2 linked regions of the Saccharomyces cerevisiae S288C genome follow. Changing the gene in region 2 together with the main gene of any one other region gives a genetic interaction. Each region holds a gene or a part of one and is shown on either strand. Other genes may lie near its edges.

What was found. Genes that interact genetically often act in the same process or in processes that back each other up.
Region 1: mutations in RCF1 (region 2) and RCF2 impair growth when combined (synthetic growth defect), as found in Saccharomyces cerevisiae (3 studies listed by BioGRID, with this or other methods).

What each region holds. Positions count from the first base shown.
Region 1 is NC_001146.8:661,641-665,444, reverse strand, and holds RCF2 (Rcf2p), read right to left. Parts: upstream 1,176-3,804; coding exon 501-1,175; downstream 1-500. Other genes in the region: ARE2 (sterol acyltransferase), read right to left, coding at 1-106; protein transporter TIM23, read right to left, coding at 1,864-2,532. UniProt on the Saccharomyces cerevisiae protein: Assembly factor that plays a role in the assembly of the respiratory chain supercomplexes (SCs) composed of ubiquinol-cytochrome c oxidoreductase (cytochrome b-c1 complex, complex III, CIII) and cytochrome c oxidase (complex IV, CIV).
Region 2 is NC_001145.3:212,861-217,414, reverse strand, and holds RCF1 (respiratory supercomplex assembly factor RCF1), read right to left. Parts: upstream 981-4,554; coding exon 501-980; downstream 1-500. Other genes in the region: USA1 (Usa1p), read right to left, coding at 1-53; NDC1 (Ndc1p), read right to left, coding at 1,259-3,226; recombinase RAD52, read left to right, coding at 3,485-4,554. UniProt on the Saccharomyces cerevisiae protein: Assembly factor that plays a role in the assembly of the respiratory chain supercomplexes (SCs) composed of ubiquinol-cytochrome c oxidoreductase (cytochrome b-c1 complex, complex III, CIII) and cytochrome c oxidase (complex IV, CIV).

The sequences.
Region 1 (3,804 bases), on a different chromosome or scaffold from region 2:
CCTCGTCGTCCACTGTTATAGATTGTCTTTTGCCCGCATCGGCAGCGTTGAGCTTTTGGATGCGGAGAAATTGTTCGTTCTCCAGTAGATCCTTCTTCTTGTCCATGGTTGTGTTTGTTATTGTTGCTTTTGCTAACGTAATGTGTCTGTTTACTTCTTGTCTAGGTGGCAATACCAGAATTAATAGCGGCTAATTTTCGTCCCCTCTTATAGATTCCGGGAAAAAAGAAGGCTTAATAATATTACAAAGAAACTGTTGGAATTTTTCCGGTTATTGCGCGAGAAGCCGTTAAATGTTAACTCCGCGGGACCGACAAGAGCGATATAAAGTTTAGCATTCACGTGTAACTGCAATGAATAGTTTTAGTTGTTTTCAAAAAATTTCAGTATGTTTTTGTATTGGTTTATCTATATATTCGAATATATAGATGTATTGATGAAAGGAATTTTATAAAAGACGAGGAGCGGAAATAAAGTTGAGGCAGATAAACCGACGAGGTTTACGACTTGAAGATCTTGGAGTTTATTCTTTCTTCGTTAGAAACGTAGCCGGTCCTTCTTCCCTCTTTCTCGAGTCTCTCTTCCTCTTCGGCGACCCTCAGTGCGTTTTCCCAGCGGCGCATTTCGTTGACCTTTTGTTTGTTAGGATGTAACTTATTCTCGTACATGCTCAAACCAACGGAGGCCAGCAGCAGCCCGACGGTAATGAATTGAGCGTACATTCTTGCCTGCACGATCTTCTGAGCTTTGGTCATGATGGGGTCTTTGTTCACGATTACCCACGACCCATACAGCGAAGCGGCCCAGGCACCGGTGATGATCTTATACTTGTTATTAGATAGACCTTCGACAAACTTGTCCTTTGTACTCAAACTCTTCCATCTTCTGTGCTCATCTAGTGCGTCTTCCGAGGAGGAACCGGATCCGTACATTGTAGCGTCGAAATTGTTCGAGGCCTCCTCCGCACATATAGCAGTCAAGACCGTGGGAGGGGTGATCCAAAGGGCGGTTTTTATGGACCATGTTAGAGTCGAAGGCTTGAATTTTGGGTACCTTCTTGGTAGGACTTTGAAAATTATAGCAGAGATTGCAAATCCGGCAAGGGCACCTTCAATACCACCTTTTAGCGTATGTGAGCGATGAGCTTCAATTTCGTCTTGGGTTAAAATCTTCATTGTGCGATGTTGGTGAGTATCGGTGCACTTGTCAAGAGTTTTTTCAAGCTAAAGACGTAGTAAAGAGTGTTTATATAATAGAACATTCTTTCCAGGTTAAACGACAAAAAACAAAAGATGGTTAGGTTAAAAGGGAAATAAGAAAGAGCATTCTTTTCTTTTTTTTGTATATTTTACCATTGTTTGGTTGTAGGAAGCAAGGGTTGAGGCCTAGACGGCGCAGTTTTTTGCGGGTTCTTTGCTGCTGTTATCTCGGTCAGGTGTTGATCGTTAGCAGCTATTTAGCGTGAGGTGTACAGAGGCCGCAGGGCTTTGTGCTGCTTCCAAGCAGGTCTTGCCGGGCGAATCGGTGGGCCGGGACGGCTCTGACAGTTTCGGGAAATACCCGAGAGTGAGCGGTTTGTTTTACTTTAATTGGCCATCGAAAACAATAGCTTAACAGTACAAAAGGCAAATAACATACAAGTAGTTGTATATATGTACATATCTACACATACATGCGCTCTTTCCATCTTTTTTTTTTGTTTTTTTAGATCTTTTCTCCGGGTTTCTACTTTCATTGGTTTGTTTTCTGCGTTACGTACTATTATTTTTCAAATGCTATATACAAGCGCCATCAGTGCATGGGGGAAAAGCGAAGAGGGAGAGAGAGAGAGAAAGAGAGAGAGAGAGTAGGTTCTTGTGTTGCTCATTTTTCAAGTAGTCTTTTCTTGACACTACACCAGACGGCGCACGCAGCGGCCACCATTGCCGAGGAATAACCCATGGGTTTCAAACCTTTTGAAGACTTGAACAAAGCGCCCGTGAGGGCCCCAGCGCCAATGGAGCCCGCGGTGTCATGTTTGCCTCTTAGTGCATCTATTGTAGAATTGATGATATTGTAGCTCAACGCGAGAATCCCCGCATTATTACCTAAGAAGGGACCTCTCTTAGTAATGTGATTCAGGACGGTGTTCAATTGCAATTTTCCGGGACTATTGGGCGGAATATTCTGCAGACCCTGCATCATACCAGAAAACCCTCCGATACCAAGTCCCAGCAGGTAGACGGCACCGGTACCGTAACATAGGTCATCGGTCCACCCACGGGAAGGGATCAGACCCTGTGAGCCTTCTAACGAGGATAGTTGTTCTTCTTCCAGATCTAAATACTCCACACCCTTGTCTAGACCAGCCAAAGGATGCAGCCTAGCGGTGTCGACATGCATTCCACCAGGACCTGATATTATGTTATTGATGTTTGGCTCGAAACCTAAACTCTGCTTCAACGATAGTTCCTTAGGCTTGGTTGTATCTTGGCCGCCCACGGCAGCATTCGCATCATCGGTAGGTGTCTTATCTCCAAAAAGCCACGACATGATTGTGTGTGATCTGTTAAACAAGTATACCTATATTATCTTGGTTATTTTTTTTTTTTCTATCTGCTTTTGTTAACGCTATAACGTGTAGTATGTACAGGCAAAGAGAGTAGAAGAGGAAAATGGTCTTTTTTTTTTTTTTTTCTGCAATGGAGGGCGAATGCAATAACCTATTATTTCTATTAATTAAACGCAACAAATGTTTCCCTTTTGCTCTACGTAAAGGTTCCTTTCTCTCTTTTTTTTGTCGGTGTCTTTTTTTTTTCAGTATTTTCTCTTTTTTTCAATGAATCGTCGATTTCCTTTTCTTCCTTTTGCGATTAAATTATTTTTACCCAGCTTTAGCAAGCCAGTTCGTACGCAGCGACTAGCAAACAGCCGGGTAACTCACATTTTGTTTGCACACTTAAAATACCCATACAGAACCATTATATATGTTGGGTTGAATTGGGACCTAATGTGCTGCTCAGGTGCCGCGTATATCATGACACTTATACTTGGTGGGGAATCGCCCGTCAGGCCTGAACGCAACGAACCCGCGCATGCATCGACGTCACAGTGAGCTCAGGCCGCATCACGGCCGTTACGCCCTCCAGAGTCACCACGACTGCGACTAGTATCATCCGTCAAGAAGAACAAGAACAAGAACAAGAACAAGAACAACAAACTCCGGGCACATCTCTCGGCTTCAGTCGCTTTCGCTCATTGCCTGTAGGTTGGCCCGATATGCGTTGACGTTATCCAAAGGGGAATGCTTCATCTTGTTGAACAACGCCCAACAATTTCCACTGCCCACCGAATCGTTGCGCCCGTTAAAATCTTCACATGGCCCGGCCGCGCGCGCGTTGTGCCAACAAGTCGCAGTCGAAATTCAACCGCTCATTGCCACTCTCTCTACTGCTTGGTGAACTAGGCTATACGCTCAATCAGCGCCAAGATATATAAGAAGAACAGCACTCCCAGTCGTATTCTGGCACAGTATAGCCTAGCACAATCACTGTCACAATTGTTATCGGTTCTACAATTGTTCTGCTCTCTTCAATTTTCCTTTCCTTATTCTACTCTTTTTATCCCTTTCGTACAGTTTACCTGAAGATAAAAAACAACAAAGCCAATTCCCTAATTTGCAATCGCCATTTGCATCTATATATATATATTTGTTGTGCCATTTTTTTATCCTCTGTGAGTGATCGGTGCATGTGTTTATAAAAGTTTATTCATTCTACTATACGAACTTTTCCCTCTGCCCTTCCCTCCCGCTTCATCCTTATT
Region 2 (4,554 bases):
TCGCTTGACCATATAGTAAATTTGCAGGGCGTCTGAGCTAGATATTCAGACATGTTGCGTATTTGGTGAAGGGTGTATATGACACTTTATATAGCCGCTTAAGATGGTACAATAAAGTGTTTATCTGAAGTACGTCACCTTGCAATTGAATATTTGGTGGATTCTCTCTGTTTCAATTTTTCTGAAAATTGTACCGATCGTTAGCTGGCAATTACCGTTACGTATGTGTCAAGCAAAAAAAAACCCACATATTAAAAATCAAGTAAATAGAGCGATTGATATAGCATTTACCTATCGATATAAATATGTTTTAAGTGATAGTTATACAAGATAAAAACAAAGAATATTCATATGTACGCTGTTATTTTGTAATTATTTTTCTTGAATACTGGACATAGCATCATGAATTTTTTTATTACATTTCTTCATTACAGTCGAAATTAGCTGTTCATTCTTTTGTCTCTCATCATAATTTATTTACAGCAAATCGAAGAGCCAAATTACTTCTTTCCAAGCTTATTTTCCAGGTCGCTTAGTTCCTTTTCTAAGTTCTTGATTTCCTCTTCGTTCTCAAGGGTCTTCATTCTTGCCAATTCGGCTCTTTTTCTCCTTGCCTCCGTTTCTTCCTCCCTTCTCTCCAGCTCTTGGATCCATAACTTTTCTCTCATCTTGGCTTTCTCCTTCAATTGTTCCTCCTTCGCCTTCAGTTCCTTACCAGAAGTCCCATAGATAAATGAACCTGCGACTAGTGCGACTAGTGTGGCCGCTTGTAGACCCACACGCCAACGGAAGTAGTACTGAGCTTTCCATTTATTACCAAGACGAACATTTTGAGCAGCCAGAATGACAGCTCCTGTAGTCAGCAAGCACCCAATGGGTACCAATGGCTGTTTCTTACAATGGTATATAATCCTTTCGCCAAAGGTCATATCATCCAAATCCCTCTCCGTAACATCGAAACTAGATGGCATGCGTGACATCTTGAACGTATAACTGTGATGTTATCGCTTCTAGTACCAGGAATTGAATTAATTCCGATAGGAAGCATTGCTTCCTCTTCTCTATACTTTTCTTTACTATTATTCTTGAAGCATAAAAGGGCCCTCCTTGATTCGCTACCCGGAAACGATAAAGGTAGCTTTTTGCTCTTTTTGCTCATATTAGGCCTCTACTAAAGCATTTGTGCGGTATTCCAATTTTTATTATTGTATTTATCTTACATGAAATGGGAGGAGGGGTGCTCCTCGGTTGAATTGTATTACGTAGCATTAGGGTTGCCTGAGGCGTACACTTCTAGAAACCAGTTCGCCAACTTGGCCACGTCTGCATCCAAATATACGTCGTTCAGAGCAACATTGTATTCAAGTACAATCTCCATAAAAGCACTGGTGGACAGCTGATAAAGAACACTGATCATGTCAGTAGTGTCTTTCATGCTATCTTCGTCTTCACTGTCTTGTTGTACTCTATCTTGGGCTGTCCTTTGTGTTTGGAAGGCAGTGTATGCCATCGATTCCGGATCCCAATCGGCAAATTCACCCAGTGCACAGATGGACCTCTCCAAAGTCTTAAGAATATCCCCAACGGATGCAATGATACCGCCTTTTGGATCTTCTGTCTTTGATCGGATCAGCAGTCCTGTCAGTGCTACCACACTATTTGCGTGGCATATGGGCAATGGAACCAGCTTCTCAGCTTGCCTTTTCTTGGAAATGGACCATATGTCAATTATCGAGATTTGGGCTTTGTTGGAGCCATTTGGTAATAGTCTGTAATTGTCGCTTTCATCAGATGATTGTCTTTCTGCGTAGGAAGGGAAAATAAACGACATTATAGAATTTTTCAGTTTTTTTAACATCAGACGCATAGCGGTCATAAATGTTGTTTCGTGGGTGAAAATAGAGCCGTTAAAAGTTTGTGTCGTTTCATCTAAATCGTTGTCGTAATACGAGGACCTATGCCTTTTCTTGTTTCCGCGGTTAAGCAATACACTATCGTCAGTTCTTACCCTCAGCCTGTTTGGTGATTCATCTAATAAGCCGTTATCCCGTAATGGCGCCATCATAGAGGGTCGGTTCCCAAAGAGTCTTTCGTTGGCGCTTGTTAGTTTCCCGTTCTCATACATATAATCTAGATTTTCTACTTTTTTTTTATGTCTAGCAGTTGCAGAGCCCCCAAGATCTTGTACTGATCTTAGGTACTGCACAACCTTTTCATTGTTTATCTGAATGGTCTTCAAGCATTCATTGAGGATTAATGACCAAGTATTACCACTACTGCTTCTGAACTTGGAGTGATATATTGGTGCTCGCAATGATGGATCCAGTGAAGTGGCCCTATACGCTAGTTCCTGGTAGGCAGTCAACCTAGTAAATGGCTTGTCTGCAGAAAGCCCACTAAGCAGGGTTTCCATCGGCGTCGACGACAAATTCGAAATTAGCTTGCCCTTGTGCAGACAACCTATGGACATATGTGCGTCAAATGCTATATTTATGAATTCGAAAGTGATGAAGATAATGCAGGAGATTATTAGTAAATTTGTGACAGCTAGCACGCCATTCGTAAATGAATCAAATAATCCCGATTTTTGCCTGGAAAAAAATACTGTGGTAAAGATTGGTAATACGAACATGCTGATTACACTTAGAATGACTGACTTCTCCATAATCCTCTTGACACGCTCTAATACGTAGTCTTGTGGGGCCTGGAAAAAGTTTTCGCAGTTGAACGACAATTTGTCAGCGTCAGTGACATGATGTTGTAGGTTGTAAATCGTGGGAACGACTAGCCAAATAAACAGCTTATAGTATGGCTTCCATCCAGATCCGCCACGTCCGAAAACCACACCCAGTACGAATGATAAAAGGATGCTGCCCATGCTATAGACTCCCTGGTATACAAGAAACTTTACTGATAACAATTGGCCTAGAATGAAAGTAAGTGAATTAGCGAACCCAAAATTCTTTACATGCATGTAATTTTTTCTTGTCACAATGATCAAAAGGGAAACTAGGTTAAGAGCTAAAATATTGGGAATAAATGCCAATGCCAGTTCCCATAACGGTGAGTGTGGCAACGCCAGCAGTGAAATCACCACAGTTTGGATAATAGAACATATGAAAAACAACCTCGTAACTAAATGGTTGAATCGGGTCTTGCACACGTCGCTAAAGATGGTATGGTACGTGTACCGTGGATTCAACAACTCCCTTGGCGTCTGTATCATCTGCTTGCCCTGTAATGTCCTTTCGTCTTCTCAATCACACTTACTCATCGCCAAAGAGTCTGCTCTTCCCGTTAGTGATTCTCGATGTTATTATATTCTTTAGTCTGTTAAGAAAAGACGAAAAATATAGCGGCGGGCGGGTTACGCGACCGGTATCGAATGGCGTTTTTAAGCTATTTTGCCACTGAGAATCAACAAATGCAAACAAGGAGGTTGCCAAGAACTGCTGAAGGTTCTGGTGGCTTTGGTGTGTTGTTGATGAATGAAATTATGGATATGGATGAGAAGAAGCCCGTTTTCGGTAACCATTCCGAGGACATACAGACCAAATTGGACAAGAAATTAGGACCTGAGTATATCTCCAAGAGAGTTGGGTTTGGAACAAGCAGGATTGCATACATCGAAGGTTGGAGAGTAATTAATCTTGCTAATCAAATCTTTGGATATAATGGCTGGTCTACGGAGGTAAAAAGTGTAGTTATCGATTTTTTGGATGAGCGACAGGGAAAGTTTAGCATAGGGTGTACTGCAATTGTTCGTGTTACGTTGACTAGCGGGACTTATAGGGAAGATATTGGGTATGGTACCGTGGAGAACGAAAGACGGAAACCTGCCGCTTTCGAAAGGGCCAAGAAATCTGCCGTTACGGATGCCTTGAAAAGATCTTTGAGAGGGTTTGGTAATGCTCTAGGAAATTGTCTTTACGATAAAGATTTTCTGGCAAAGATCGATAAGGTGAAGTTCGATCCGCCAGATTTTGACGAAAACAATTTGTTTAGGCCAACGGATGAAATCAGCGAAAGCTCAAGAACGAATACTTTGCATGAAAATCAAGAACAACAACAATACCCGAATAAAAGAAGGCAATTGACTAAAGTTACAAATACCAATCCCGACTCGACGAAGAACCTGGTGAAAATAGAAAATACAGTAAGTCGAGGTACCCCAATGATGGCCGCACCTGCTGAGGCTAACAGTAAAAACAGCAGTAATAAAGATACTGATCTCAAATCTCTCGATGCTTCCAAACAGGATCAAGATGACCTTCTCGATGATTCTCTTATGTTTAGCGATGATTTTCAAGACGACGACTTGATAAATATGGGCAACACAAACAGTAATGTTTTAACGACAGAGAAGGATCCCGTTGTAGCTAAGCAAAGCCCAACTGCTAGCTCAAACCCAGAGGCAGAACAAATCACCTTTGTTACAGCTAAGGCTGCAACTTCCGTACAAAATGAACGTTATATTGGTGAAGAGAGCATTTTTGATCCCAAATACCAGGCACAATCCATTAGGCACACCGTTGATCAGACTACGTCCAAGCA